Linked DNA regions of Cricetulus griseus. The protein of the gene in region 2 purifies or fractionates together with the protein of the main gene of each other region. This does not show direct contact. Links are inferred from orthologs where the notes say so. Each region holds a gene or a part of one and is shown on either strand. Other genes may lie near its edges. The genes, in order: Ppp2r2c and Sertad4.

The links.
Region 1: the proteins of Sertad4 (region 2) and Ppp2r2c purify together in Homo sapiens (affinity purification with mass spectrometry; 3 studies listed by BioGRID and IntAct, counting the BioPlex papers as one, with this or other methods). This does not show direct contact. The link is inferred for Cricetulus griseus from reciprocal best matches to the Homo sapiens genes SERTAD4 and PPP2R2C.

The regions. Positions count from the first base shown.
Region 1 is NW_023276807.1:105,893,253-105,897,062, forward strand, and holds part of Ppp2r2c (protein phosphatase 2, regulatory subunit B, gamma), read left to right. Parts: intron 1-1,777; coding exon 1,778-1,955; intron 1,956-3,810. UniProt on the Homo sapiens protein: The B regulatory subunit might modulate substrate selectivity and catalytic activity, and might also direct the localization of the catalytic enzyme to a particular subcellular compartment.
Region 2 is NC_048598.1:2,353,412-2,357,873, reverse strand, and holds the start of Sertad4 (SERTA domain-containing protein 4), read right to left. Parts: upstream 3,095-4,462; coding exon 2,920-3,094; intron 1,769-2,919; coding exon 1,653-1,768; intron 1-1,652.

The DNA.
Region 1 (3,810 bases), on a different chromosome or scaffold from region 2:
GGACTTAGTGAACCCGGTCAGCTTCAGGAACTTCCTGAAGCTACTTTGAGTTGTTTATCTACTGTCCAAAAGGAGCTTCCCTAAAAGATGAAGTATCTCACCTCCCCTTATTAGGTGGTTCTCAACCTTCCTAATGCCATGACCCTTTAGTACAGTTCCTCAGGTTCTAGTGACCTCCAACCATAAAATTATTTTCATTGCTACTTCATAACAGTAATTTTGCTACTGTTATGAATCATAATGTAAATATTTGCAATACAGGGTATCTGCTATGCGACCCCTGTGAAAGGGCCTTTCGACCCCCAGAGGTGTTTCAGCCCACAGGTGAGAACTGCTACCTTAGACCATCCTGCTGTTTCACCTCCTTGTAAACATCCTGTCCTAAAATATCCCATTGTTTCACTTCCTTTTTACATCCTATATCTTCAAAATTCTCCCCAAGATGAAAAATTTTAATCCACTACACAGCAGACACCCTGTATGCTTCTCTCCTGGCATGGTGTGGTGGGCTGTGTCTGTGAAGGGCTCTTCAACTGCAGTTGAGAGGGAAAGCAAGTCAGAAAATTCCCATTACAGAAAGGAAAAACTGAGGCCCAGAGTATAGCCACACTTGCTCTGTAGTTACTGAGTTGAGCTCATCCTGGGTATTATAGTGTGGAGGGAGTTGGGCTGGTCTTCTTTGGTGCAGTGAAGGACAGAATGTGGTGCTGTAGAGTTGTGGCAAAGTTGACGTTTGTCCTGCTTAATTAAAAGACACAAGGACTTGCATCCTCCAGCAGAGTGTGGAACTTGCAAGAAAGAGTTTTGGTGGCTGGAGTGCTTGCTCAGTGATTAAGAGCACTTGCTGTTCTTGACTCCCACCACCTACATGGCAGCTTATAGCTGTCTGTAACTCCAGTCCTAAGGGATTTGATGCCCTCTTCTGACCTCTTTGGGTACCAGGCACACCACATAGTGTGCATGCATACATCAGTCAAAATGCTCATACACATAAATTATAAAAAGAACAAGAGAGAGAAGCGTGTGTGTGTGTGTGTGTGTGTGTGTGTGTGTGTGTGTGTGTGTGTGTGTGTGTGCTGGGCACTTCAGTTTATAGGGAGAGACCCTGGATACCTGTACTGCTGACCATGCCCATTTGGGTATGGTCACAGGTACCTAGAGGGGTAGGATAAAGAGCGAGGAAGAGGCGCTCCTCATCTCTCGGGGGTGTTCAGGCTAGGTCTTGGAGGCATCTGGGACTGGACTTCTCAGAGTGCCAAATCTGGTTATTGGTTCCTTGTGTGAGTATCCCTTCTTAATAAATTACCAGTTAATAACCTATCCCATGTTTGATCTTGTTTCTCATCATCAGTTCATGCAAGGTGGGCAGGTTTATTCCTGAGCCCCTTATACAGGCCAGGAGGCTTTGAAAACCTCACAGTTAAACAGCCATGTAGAGCATGCTGCGCTAGCAGGGCAGGTGAAGGACATTTGGTATCTCTGACCATTGATCTCACACACGACCGCTTGCTTATTTCACACCCTGCTCCTGAATGAGTGTTGCAGCTTCCCATTAAGATCGTGTGTTCTCTGCCAGGCAGTAATCCTTTAATCCCAGCACTTGAGAGGCAGAAGCAGGAGGATTTCTATGAGTTTGAGGCCAGCCTGGTCTACAGAGCGAATTCCAGAACAGCCAAGGCTACACAGAGAAACCCTGTCTTGGGGGAAAAAAAAGATTGTGTGTCCTGTGACTTCTCCGGCCCCTTCCCTTGTGACTCTGACTGTCTCTGCTCTGCAGGTCCCTGTCCTGAAGCCCATGGACCTGATGGTGGAGGTGAGCCCGAGGAGGATCTTTGCCAATGGCCACACCTATCACATCAACTCCATCTCAGTCAACAGCGACTGTGAGACATACATGTCAGCAGATGACCTACGCATCAACCTCTGGCATCTGGCCATCACTGATAGGAGCTTCAGTATCCTTGGCTTGACCTGCTGGGAAGTGGCTTCAGGGTGGTATATAAGCACACTGGCTTCCGGGCTTTAGTTTTGGCAGCTTCCTTACTGTGGTCCCATCTAGGGTGTGAAGGGGGCCAGGTGTAGGACCACAGTATTTATGAACACTTAAAAGACACAGCTGCTGAGAAGCTCCATCACACCCCATGCCTCCTTAGGGTGGCAATGGTCTCCATCACCTTGGTCCCCATAGGAGCCATGAAAGGTCAAGAGAGCTAGAGGCAACATGTCCGGTGTTGTGTCTCTCTGGATATAGAGTAACAACTGGGGTATCAGAGATATGGGTGTCAGAAGCTAGCCAGAAATGGGATCCTGGTGTCAGAACAAGCTAAGGACTGAGCACTGCCCCTCCTCCAGCCTGCTAAGGAGAGGACCACCTATAGGATGTGTGAGTGTAGCCTGCACCAAGCTGGGGAAGGTCAGGGCCAATCCAGAAAGGGCAGGTTGCTACCATGTCACTGTTGTGTGGACTATTAATGCCAGCCATACTAAGTGATGTTTCATGTACTGAGCTTTCACACAATAGGATAGTCACCAGCCCCTTTGCAGTAAGGGACCTGAGTCATTGAGTCTGAGCTCATTAGATGACAAGTATCTACTGAGAGGGAGTGAGGGGCAGGGAATGGCATAGCGATGATGTAATGGAGACAGTAAAGAATGTTGACTTCTTCAATTTGGGCTGTGTTGTAACTGTCTTTGGACCTAGGTGGCCACAGGACATTAGAACAAGATAGTTGTATATGAGGAAAGAGAGTTGATTACTCCAGCACCAAGACTTGTTTGTCCCCGTGTCACTGACTTCCTTTTCCCATCTAGAATACAGGAGTTATGCTCATCCATGTTGAAGAGCACAGCATTCACCAGCAGAGTAGAAGGGGGAGCATGTCAGTGGACTGGCGGGCCTTGTGGGAACTCGAGTGGAAAGGGGAACATGTCAGTGGACTCGTGGAACTAGGGAACTAATATGGCTGTTGTGGACACACTGTGTCCAACTTGTGTGTGGCTCCAGTTTTGTGAAAGTGCCTGGTAAGCTGGTGACGAGAGGTGCCTGACTTGTTCAATGCAGGAAGGGGTATGTGTCAGGTGCTGAAGACCCGGATGTGGCTTAGGGAAAACTAGGATTTGAAGCAGCCTCCTGTCTGACTGCCAGGTTAATCAGGGAGCCATGTTGCCCCACTGTGGCCTGCTGGTACCAGGCCACAGAGTGATGAGAGTCAGACACCTGGAACAGAGCTCTGGGCTTATTCCCTGGAGGTGAGCCTCTCTTAGCAGAAAAGGGTCTGGACTCTGGGCTGCAGGTGTTTCCACGGATCTGATGGCAGCTGAGTAATTGGAGATGTCTCCCTTCTGGCATGGAGAGAGGTATGTGTGACCTCATGCTGAGCTGGGATGGCTTTGAGCTTATGTGATACCCTCTGAGGGATGTACGTGTATGCATGTGTGTGTGTGTGTGTGTGTGTGTGTGTGTGTGTGAGAGAGAGAGAGAGAGAGAGAGAGAGAGAGAGAGAGAGAGAGAGAGAGAGAGAGAGAGAGACCTGGAGGATCCTGGCTCATCCATTCTGGGGAGGAAGCTGAGGTCAGGGTTGGAGGTGATGCTGAGTGCAGAGAGCTGGACTGAGTCTGGACCAGGGTCTTGCATTCCTTTCTGTCAGCCTCTGCTCAAAGTTCTCAGTGGTCCCTTTGGCTCCTGAGACTGCTCTGGGCTCATCAGTGGTGGCTGGTGTTCCTTGGTAACACTTCCCTCATCCTCTCCCCCAACTCTCAAGATTTGTCTGTCCTTCAGGGACCCATAGGGCCATGTTCCACCCTCTGCTT
Region 2 (4,462 bases):
TGACCCCTTTTCCTAATAAAAAGCCCCTCTGCTTGAACCCTGTCACGTGGCGTCTTTCTCTCCTGAGCTGCTTTTCTTAAATTACAACACCACCAAGGAACACTTCTGGGTTTTCACACCTGTAACATGTCTTATTTGATCAGAGGGCAACTGTAGTTAGTGAGGCTAGGTTAGGTAGGACCTGTTGGCTTGTGGAGCTGACAGGAAAGAGACACACGCTGACAGAAACTGGAGTTGGGGATGTAGTCCTGGGCAGTGAGGCTGACACTGGGTGGAGGATGGTCCGTTAGCAATTGCTATTATTGTTAACATTTTTTTGTGTGTGTGAAAAAAAAAAAAGCAGCAAACATGTCCTTGCCTATGTAGCCTAGGCGGCCTGGGAACTCACAACGAAGCCCAGGTAGACTTTGAACTTTCTCCAGAGCTGACACATCTCACTAGCAACTGGAAAGTGGACACAGATGCAGCACCCACAGGAACTACAGATACAAACATGGGTGCCTCCTGACAAACAGGCAAAAGCAACTGCTAAAGCCTGGAGAGGGGTGGGCAAGGGGAGGCAGCCGGCGGGGTGGGGACAGAGAGGTGGAAGAAGCTGAGCTGGAGGCACAGTTCTGGAGGGGAGGCAACCACAGAGGAAAACGAACCTAAGCTTAGACACGCACCCGGTCCTTCACCTCATGCACTTGTATTTCCTTATTTTGTGTGGAAAGAAAAACAGCTATCTTTGGTCCTTCCTTGGGAATTAATTCTGGATTTTAACAAACTTGACATATGTCACAACGTATCACAAACAGCTCTATGTACGTATCCAAGGGACAATATATTGACCCCCCCCCAGGAAAACTCCTGAACAACCACCTCAACCAGCACACAGAAGTAGCCTTGTGGGCAGAGCTCAGACCAGAGTCAGGAAAGCCAAGTGCATCTCCCAACAGGTGACATCAAAGAGCAGCCCTGGGCCTCAGTGCAGCCCCAGAGTATTAAATTATCCACAAAAAGATGTGTTCTTCCGTACATACTGTGGTTATTTCCAGGCAGAGAATCTCTGTCTGGTTCTTCAAGTACTTGTGAAAAGTAACACAGGCCCTGCCCTAGTCAGGGTTATTATTGCTGTGATGAAATGCATAACCAAAGCAACTTGGGAAGGAAAGGGTTTATTTGGTTTCCACTTCCACACTGTAGGCCATCACCAAAGTACATCAGGACAGGAACTCAAGACAGGGCAGGAACCTGGAGGCAGGAGCTGATGCAGAGACCATGGAGGAGAGCTGTTTACTGGCTTGCTCAGCCTGCTTTCTTATAGAACCCAGGACCACCATTCCAAGAATGGCACCACCCACAATGGACTGGGCCTCCCCCACCAATCACTAACTAAGAAAATGCCCTACAGGCTTGCCCACAGCCTGATCTTACGGAGGCATTTTCTCAATGGAGCTTCCCTCCTCTCAGATGACTTTAGCTTGTGACAAATTGACTTAGTGCTATCCAGTACAGGTTCCCCCCACCAAAGTGACAGTGATTCATGTAGTCCCATAAAGAAGTGGCTCTCTTCTGTTGCTTGGGTGGGACAATTTAATGTCTGGAAATGGTTCAAGCCAGTGCCACAAGACATTGTAACTGTTAATAAAGTAACTGCTGTTTAAACATACTTTACGGCTGCAGCTGCTGAGTGTTGGGTGAGAATCCTCCTCTTCTGTGTACTTCCTCTTGAAATATGTGACCTTGGATGTGCTTATAGGATTTGGAATTCCCCTGTAATGTGATCCTGCAGTAATAAATCAGATAGACAAATGACACGAAGCCTGCCAGCGGTTCTCCAAGCAAAATGCTTTCATTTCCTTTCCCTGGAGTGGATAACTTGGCTACATCCCTGACTGTATACGCAGTGATGAAAAACAAACATTTGTCTTCATAGTTGCAGCTACCAGCGGACTGAATCCTGTGAGTCTGGGAAGGTAAAGATTTCCAGGCCACATCAGAGGAAAATGTCACCCACCTTTCAGCATTTACTAAATGCCTGGGATCTTAACTCTCTGTACAGGCAAACAGCGGAATTCATGGATGGCGTTGGTGGTGGTGGTGGTGGTGGTGGTGGTGGTGGTGGTGGTGTGTTGTGTGTGTGTGTGTGTGTGTGTGTGTGTGTGAGAGAGAGAGAGAGAGAGAGAGAGAGAGAGAGAGAGAGAGAGAGAGAGAGAGAGAGAGACCCTGTCCAAAGCAATACCAGCATTGACTCAGACCCCACCTCACAGAGGTAGTAAATCATGGGTACGAATTGATTTCAGGGTTAGTAAACAAATGCATACATACATGGAGTTATAATAGCTTTTCTTTTAAGATACGAAGTTACATATGGAAGCTTAACATTTGGAGTGATTAAATGCTGTTTCACTCTGGTAGTGTTAACACGTCAACCATGAATACAGCAGGGCCTCCTTTGAGGACTTTAAAACCTTTTCAGAAACTAGACTTTCATGAAGCTTTCATTTCAGTTTCTTTTTAAAAGGAAAAAAAAAAACTATCGCTTTATAAACACTCAAAGGAACTTATGTGAGACTATTAGAATTAAAGCCCAGAAGAATATATTTCTATTTTCTTATCAACTGTGTGCTTCATGAAGAAGAGCAGCTTGAAGCTGTGGTAAGGGTGCAGACTTCTTTATGCCTGGTGGGGCAGAAGCTCTGCTTGTGGGCCCTGTGATGTGTACATCCCCGAGGACCATTCACTTCCCAAGGACACAAAGCCTGAATCCAAACTTTCAGTATCTGGTTCAGACCCTTAAAAAACAAACAAAAAACCAAAAACCCACTGCTCCAGGATGTCCACAGCAGATGGACTGTAGAGCAAGTTAAGTAGGATTTCCCAAGGAGCCCAGCCTGACTGAACACCACCTCCTAAGGAGAAGGCCAAAGGCAATACCTGCCAGTTGAGGGCTGGCTCCTCGGTCTCCCTGCAAAGGAAGCTGTGCTGGCCCTGGGGGGCTCACACCTCTGTAGCTGTCAGCCTCCCATAGCGTTTGGTACCCAGCAATTTCAGCAGCTCCTTCTGAGACAATGGGCTCGCAGAATCTATTCATGGACAGAACCAGCGTCATCTCTGACAGCCTTAGACCTGGAAAAGAAGGGGTGGGTGAGTTGGAGAGATATACAGCCTGGGTTAGGAGCCAGCCTGAGGATGATGGTCTCTGGTACTTGGGAAGGCTTTCAGTTCCTCTCCTTTCCCTTCATACCAAACCGTCAGACTACCTTTCCCAGGACACCTCAGCAAACTCTTGCTGCTCTCAGCTTAGCTACTGCAAATGGCAGCCTGCATCTCAGGGCGGATCTTTAGAGCCCACTCTTATTGTTCTCGGATCCGCTCAGCCCCTCTCAGACAGCTGCTCTGTATCCTAAATACATTTTCCTCCCGATCTTACGAACGCACCTCTAAGAGGAAGGGCTAGAAGCCCTGTGCTTCCCTTCTATTAATAAGGTGAAATCAATTTTCTATTCAAGCCTCTAGGAGTCCCCTTTGATAAAATCTGCTGTCAATGGGGGAGGGGGACAGGGGCAGGACAGAAGTCCTAGGGTCCTTCCAGCACTTGTCTCTCCTCCCAGTTCCTCGGCCACACTCTCTCCTCCCGGGGTGAAGCAGGCAGACACTCGGCAGTTGTTTCCACAGCCCTTGTCGGCCTGAACTGGGTCTGCCTCCAGTCACAACACTGTGAGATGAAGACAGAAAATTGGCTCCCGTTTCCAGCCGTGAGTTGCAGCCCCACAGGAGCCAAGCCCAACACTAACCAGGCAGCAGAATATTAAACAGGAGCCAGGGCTCTGGGCAGAGGCAGCCAGCAACTCTTTAAACTGTAAAGCCAGATACCAGGCAGGAACTTTCCAAGAGTCAACACATTGCCGTCTGCCCTCCTCTCTGGTTCCCACCCAGACCTTAGGACGCTGGGAGCCAGCCTGGCCTCAGAAGCTCTGCTTGGCCTCCCAGACTCTGACCCTGTGTAATCCAGGCTATGAGGCCACCTCCATGGGGCTCAGTGGTGACCCTCAGAATAGGGTCAAGAGTATGTTCCAGGGAGAAAGGGAGTCTGGGGCCAGGGAGCAGACCCAGCAACTCCGATTCCTGGGTCCTTTCAGACAGGAGTTCTCAACCCTCCTAACTCTGCAACCCTTTAACCAGGTCTTCATGCTGGGGTGACCGCCCCAACCATAAAATTATCTCATCACTACTTGGTAACTGTAATTTTGCTACTGTTATGAATTACATTGTCAGTATCTGTCCTCTGAAGGTCTTAGGTGACCCCTGTGAAAGACTGACTACCAAAGGGGTCATTACCCAAAGGCTGAGAATCACTGCTGTAGGATATCCAGACCTGCACAGGTGACTCACTTGTGTTCTAAGGACCTGTCACTGAAGTGACGTCAGGCCTGCTTGCTGAAGATGGATTTTCTTTCTGGTATAGCAAGGGCCCAGT